Kluyveromyces lactis: one gene and its partner. The protein of the gene in region 1 interacts with the protein of each later gene in a pairwise test. Links are inferred from orthologs where the notes say so. Each region holds a gene or a part of one and is shown on either strand. Other genes may lie near its edges.

Region 1 (3,757 bases):
AGAATAACGTGCAAATGGATCACAAAGACATCAAAGTTACTGCTAAAATTTTAAGTATTTTCGACAATGGTAACAATGTGACTATATACCTTACTCGTAGTGGCATGGTCGGTACTCAATGTACAATTGAAAACCCTTTCGAAGAACTTCTTAAGGTGCAAATCTGGGGGAGACAGAACTTGACACTTTTCTTCGGGAATCCAAATTATAGTTATAAGAGGGAAGAACTGACCGCCTGCATCGGTTCTATTGTGGACTTCACATTGATACCTAGAGTTCTGCGCGTCAATGAGTATTTATACATCAAAATATGGTGTCCTATTTATGCAACATTGGAGAGCTTACTGATTCACAGCAGATTGGAGTATGATAACGACACACTCAAATACGAAAACCTCTCCGATATTGATTAAGAACTAGGCGTATTTTGAAGTTGATTTCATTACATGAAGAAAGCTTGTCACCGTCATTATACTGGCGTCGCTAGCGGAGGTAGCATTTGTATAATTTTTTAATATAAAATAGAATACTCGTATAATTATGCGTAATAATTTAGAAAGTAACCAACTCACACATAATGCTGATAATCAGATAAGAAGGATACTTCATTTTTTAATATCACTTCTGAGTGCGTTTGACCAAATAACTCTCTATTAATCATAAGTGATGTAATTCAAGCTTTGGCCAACGAAATTCTCTAAGGAAACGTGCAACAAGAAAATCGTAACATATGCATGGCCATTTAGTGTCTTCTCGAAGCTGAGGGAATACGTTATAACACCTCTAAGATCGGGAAACCACAGAGTTGGATTCGAATGCCATAAATATACATGATTTCTAGCCGAAGGAACATTAGTGATTATATAATCATAAATCGCTAAGCAAGGATACGTTTTGTTATCCTTCGGAGATAATCATACAATTCAGAGTATTCAACGTCCAAATGCAAGAGGTCTGAGAAATAGAAATGGCGTTTTGAGCAAGGCAATTATTATCCAACGGAGAACAACTGACAGAATAATCAAAAAAAAGGCTTCAAGTGTCCATTTTGTTTCCTGTAACGAATGGGCACACTATTGAACTGTGAATATTGACTGCGGTTTCTAATTCTCGACAAGTCTCTCATCCAAATGCCTCCAGTTGCCACTCACTGTCTCGTGCAGGATATCTCTACTGAGTGTTTGCTATCACTGCCTTTCTCGACATGGATTATATAAGCCATTTGACACTTATTCTCCGGAGCAAACTTTGGAAAAAGGAAAATGCCGACAGTCGAAAAGAAAACAGAGAAGAAACTCAGTACCTAAATAATTAGGGGAGGTAAGCATTTGAAGAGAAACATCCTGCAGAAGAAACTTTATTGCTCTGAATGACCGCTCAAAGTAGGGCAAAAAGGGTTTCTAAAGGGTGTGTGGCAGTAGGCATTTATGTTTGCTCTTTTCGGCGTCTTGTTTTTGCTTCCGTTAAAGAATAAGGTATACAATTTAAATCTACCGATATTAATTTAAGGGGTTGACTTTGTTATAAAAAGACATCAAGATTAAAGAGTTGACCGTCCAAGTTGAGTTGTAACCTTTTACCTTTTGAGCTAATTTTGGATGAAAGGATTTTTTAATTCTGTTAATTGTTTTGGTGTGATTTTGTTTCTCTCAGTTTGTTCTTCTTCTCCATAATCAAAGCTAAAATAATAACCATATAATACTAATTTTTAATAATATCATGAAGTTCAAAGGGTTCGTTTCTTCGTTATCGTTGCTTTTCTTATTGGGTTCTGGTTTGTTGACGTTTTTTGTTATATTGTCTGGTGCTAGGACTACTGGTGTATTGGACAAATTCTATTGGTTTGAGGCTGACACCAGTGGGTTACCTGGTGCTCCAGATACTACAAGATGGTTCAATTACCATTGGTGTGCTTATGAGAATGGTGAAATCGGAAGTTGTTCAGGCAAACAAGCGGACTTACCATTTTCCCCTAGAGACAATTTTGGAAACAGTCCTGATCTTCCAGCATCATTTAGAGATAATCGTAATACCTACTATTATTTAAGTCGTGTTGGTTGGGCAATGTTGTTGATTGGTTTATTCTTCGTGGTACTCGCATTGATTCCTGTGTTGCTATCCTTTTTCAAGGTTGGTGTCGGTGCGGTATTGTCTACTGTTTCTATTTGGCTGGCTTTATTTTTCATCACATTGGCAGCCTGTTTGTACACAGCTTGTTACGTGAAAGGTCGTAACACTTTCCGTGATGCCGGTCGTTCAGCATCGATGAACACCAAGATGTTCGCATTTTTATGGACCTCAGTGTTCTTATTATTATTAAGTTCGTTCTGGTCAATAATTTTGAGTGTCACAATTGGTGTTCAGAAAGTCAAAGGAGCAAACACTTATCAACCGTATGAGGGTACTAGCTCTCATGATGATAGTTACAACGTCGACAAGCACACATATGAAAGCGGTGTCAATGACAACAACCGTCAAAATATCAAATGGTGGAAACTTCGCTACAAGAAGAAAGACACCGTTGCTGTTTAATTGTAGTCAAAAGTAGTCAAATCAAAATTAATTAAACATAACGACTCGAATCTCAATAAAAAAACGCCATTCACTAGAAAACAACATTTTTTCTCCCGTTTGATACCCATCTGAAACCAATACTAACACATATTAATAATTATTTCCAATTTTCTTTTAATTAGCGTCTACAACAACATTGTTAACAAGGTTAAAAATCTCGAAGGTCATGAAGAGGAATCCAACGATCCTTCCAGAAAGGATTACCAGTCTTCATCAGCTAATCAAGGGAACTTGAACAATTCTCACCAACAAACCACAACTACCTCTGGGACCCAAGCTTACCCTCATGATAATCACTGGCAAACATCTAGAAACCAAGCAGAGCCTGGAACCAACATTGGCCAAAACTACAATGAAAGTTTCCCAAGTGACAGTGATAAGAAAAATTACGGTCTGAGCTATCCATCTTATGGCAATGAAGGCACATTCGATGATCATCCACCTGGGGTCAAAGCACCATCTCATGCCAGAAACTTGAACGACTCGAATGGGCATCATGGGTCGGTACTTGGAGGTAATGAGCCCTTATCCTCGCACCATCCTGGCAGAAACGCTCAACAACAAGAATATGTTAATGTTGGTTCCTCGGATACGCCAGTTCATACCAACGATAGCAAGAGCTATGCAACTACTAAAAATATTGGCGAACCATTGAAATCGGGGAATGGCCAAGAGTTAGCCGGTTCTAGCAAATATGCCGCTAAAGATACCGAGAAGACAGACATTTATGACAGAGATACTCGCCCTCAAAGTGAAGACTCCGGGAAGCACAGAAGAAAGAGTTCTTTCAACAAACATGCTATAATGGCTACCTTAGGTCTAGGTGGAAAGTCCGACTCTGACAAATCTAAGAAGCAACAAGAGGAGTCAAATTCTCCAACTAAGCACACAGTCAATGATTCTGATTTGGGGAAAGAACACGTGTCCAAACACCAATCACAATCTCAAACTCATCGTGATAATGTTCAAGACAAGTATGATTACGGTAACTTCAAGGATAAGGAGGCCAAAGATGCTAGAACTAGGGTTGCGGCAGCTTCAGTACCTGCGAACACTCATTCAAGTGAATCGCAACAATCGACTGCCAAGCATACCCTAAAGTCTGCTACCTCTGAAACGCAGTACAATAGATCTGTCCCTCAAAAATCAATGCCTTCCAAGGGAATAAATGATGCGACAAGTG
Region 2 (3,315 bases), on another chromosome or scaffold:
AAGTTGGATTGTTTCTTGTCAGTAGACATCTTTGGTACGTTGTTAGTTATCGGTTAGGGACGGTAAAATAAACAACTAAAATGAAAAGTTAAATACAATAGATAAAACTCTACTAATGAATAAACTGAATCAAAAACAACAAATATATATATACTCCAGTCTTAATACAGAACAAGGAAAACCTGGAAGAACATTGATTCTTAAAATTTTTCATTCGCTTTAAATATTTTTTTTTCCCTAACGTTTTCCCGTTAAAAAGAAAATTTGAAAAATTTGGAAATTAAACTCAGTCAAATCAAATTGAATGGAATTGGATATGGTCAAGATATACATACATAACACAGGATAAAAAGGTATATAGCATAGATATTTGGCATTTTAACGGTATTAAAAAGAGGAAAACGTCAAGATTCGATATGGCAGAGAGTCTGTGCCATAAAGAAACAAGAGGAATGGGAAAAAAAAAAAGAATTTTTTTTTTTTTTTCCAGTGTGTTTCTACAGTAGGAAAAACCAAGGAAAGGAAAATGAGGAAAAAAAGAAAAATTTCATGGCCATGCCCTATGAAACGTTAATTTTGGTAAATTTACCATACAAAATTGACGATTTTTTGTATGGTAAAACTTATTTTTTCAGTTTTTCAAGTTTCGCGGGTTTTTTTTTTGTTTCTTGAAGATTGTTAAGTAGGAAGGAAGGAAGGAAAATGGATTAACGTGGGATTTGTTCGATCTGGATTATTTCGCTCATTCGGTGGACCCTCGCCTGGGTGACTTGGGACTTAGGACTTGGGACTAAGCCAGGCATTGGGCTGGCCTGGAAAGGCCAGCCTAGTGTAATATCCCCAAAACTGAGGCAGAGGCAGAGGCAATTCTGCCTCTGCCTCAGTTTTGGGGGGATGCCACTTGTTACCCCGCGCGCAGATGATCCCGTCCCCGGGTTTCTAACCCATACACCACACGGTATCTCACCCTGGAGGTATTTCCGAAAGGAAAATGTTAGCCTCCACGAAAACGGACGTTCTGTGATGTGCTATTTGATTGGTTCGTGTTTCGTGATATGAAACAAAACCGGGTAACCATGGCGCACGTCCTCAACGAAAGCCTTTTATTATGTATAATATACACACACACACACACACACACACATACAAACTACCTAGTTGGCCTGCCTAGCCGTCTTGCCTACGCCTGTCGCAACTTGTTCTGTTCGTTCATCACTTTTTGCAACTGTTCCTCTGTCTTGAAGTCTTGGCGCCAATTACAGATCGGACAATGCAATTGGTTGCCCCAGAAAATTGGGCACACCGGCACGAACCAAAGTGAGATAAACTCTCTTCTCTTGACCGGCTTCACTTGAAAATTATGACAATTTGGGCAATATATCCCACTGTACTGAGACTCCAATGGATGTCTGGAATCCCAATCTTTTTTACCAAAGATGATCGGTACAAATGACATTGCGGGTTACTTAGTGTGTTTCGATTTTAAGGGTCCTGGTCGTGGGGCCTGAGTCCTGCCTGAGTTCAAAGTCCGAGCTTGCCAGGATGCAGCTCATATATATATATATATATATATACCAATTAGTGGGCTTTGCCATTTGCTAGAGGCTCTATTTCCTGCACGGTAGTTTCTTTTTCGTACCCTTTTTTTTTTTGCTAATTACGTAGGGATGTGCAAGTGTTACCCGGCGCACGCCGGGTAACACGACTCGGTTGTCTTGTGCGATCTCCTCCCTCCCTCTGAACACGTGCCGTGTTCAGCGGGTCCTATGTCTCAAAAAACTGACTCGGGATTTCCTTTCCCAAAACGGAAACTCCAAAATCGCCGTCCGCCCGTTATCCCTATCTCGTATCAGTAAACAGGTAAAATACCTTCGCAAAAACCTAAACAGAAAGTGCGGCCGATAAGATGGAAAAAGGAAAACAACCCAGTCTACGTGCTTTGTCTCCTGGTCTGTCTGACTTCCGATTGACTTCGAGATACTTTTTTGTTTTCACTCCATTTGCCTTGTTCATTGGTTCTGCACCGCGACAGCTGGGATCTAGTACTATAGTATTTGGGAACGGCGAACGACCTCCACTTTTTCCCAGACCAGTTTCCCACTGGAATAAATGGCAATAGCTCTCCATCTCTGTTTCTCCGTCTGATATCTCACTCCAAAATCTCGATATCAATTCGCTTTCGTAGTCATACATGTACGGATTTATTCCCCTTTTCATGCATTTTTCTCGAATCCTAATCTTTATTATACTATAATAGATATCGTTTTTCTTTATAACCTTAAATTCTATACTGTGGGAATAAGAGAAAAATGGTGTAGTCATATACAGTGTGGGTAAAGAGAGGAATTCAGCAGATTACTGATCTTTTACCCATAGCTTGCTGTGCTAATATATATATATATATATATATATATGTGGTAGCATTGGCTCTTGTACAATTCAATTGTGTTCTTTCTCTATTTCTTTTCTCTATATAGTTTGACACATTTCCAATGTGTCTTAAATTTTCTACTGTATCTATTATAACCTTTTTTTTTTTGGTTTGACATTTGGCTGGATTCACTATAGGATTGCGCAGAGTCATGGACACCTGAACCATATATACTTATACTGTTCTATCTATCATTGTGTGCGTAATGTCGTGGTCTCAGGGAAATGTATCAGATGTGTTCAGTTTAGGATACGACTTCAGTAGTAACGTTGCGTACCCGAATTTGCTTTTAGATACGGAGCTCGAATCAAATTTGGAGTCAGATGTTACGGATGAGTTACAATTACAACCACAGGTGTCGGACTTTTCTATGTCTTTAGCTGATGCCTACACTTTCAATTATACCGATAATACTACTGCCAGTGCCAGCAGTGGCAGGATTAGCAATGCTAGTTCTACCGCTGGCACTGGTGACGACACTGCCGAGACAGCGACGACGACGGCGACAACGCCGCTACCCCGTCAAAGACGGTACTCGAAGAATAACCGTCAAACACCACCATCTTCATCTTCTGCATCTCCTTGCGGGAACCCAAACTCGCAGTCTGGCTCGATCTCTAGCAATTCGTCGAAAAAAGTGTCTGATTCAAGGCTCTCGGCAAGAGGATTGGCTGAAGTGTTGAATTTGAGTTCCCCCGCAGAAGCGTTATACAGGGAAAAATTTATCTTGGACATCTTCGAAAAGGAATTGCACTATCCATTGGGTTATAAGACTTGGGTCCGGGGTACTACAAAGGAGTATAGAACCAGGATTTTATACCAACTGCATCAGCGCGTTAAGACCAGGTATCCCGAGTACGATGAAAAAGTGTTAGAGATCATCA

Evidence for each region.
Region 2: the proteins of KLLA0_F20900g (region 1) and KLLA0_E12387g interact in a protein complementation assay, tested with the Saccharomyces cerevisiae proteins (2 studies listed by BioGRID). The link is inferred for Kluyveromyces lactis from reciprocal best matches to the Saccharomyces cerevisiae genes FMP45 and YBL029C-A.

The regions. Positions count from the first base shown.
Region 1 is NC_006042.1:1,948,443-1,952,199, reverse strand, and holds KLLA0_F20900g (SUR7/PalI family protein), read left to right. Parts: upstream 1-1,719; coding exon 1,720-2,532; downstream 2,533-3,757. Other genes in the region: telomere-binding protein CDC13, read left to right, coding at 1-413; KLLA0_F20878g (uncharacterized protein), read left to right, coding at 3,379-3,757. UniProt on the Saccharomyces cerevisiae protein: Involved in sporulation and affects the sphingolipid composition of the plasma membrane.
Region 2 is NC_006041.1:1,093,192-1,096,506, forward strand, and holds KLLA0_E12387g (uncharacterized protein), read right to left. Parts: upstream 1,457-3,315; coding exon 1,181-1,456; downstream 1-1,180. Other genes in the region: ADP/ATP carrier protein PET9, read right to left, coding at 1-29; KLLA0_E12409g (uncharacterized protein), read left to right, coding at 2,637-3,315.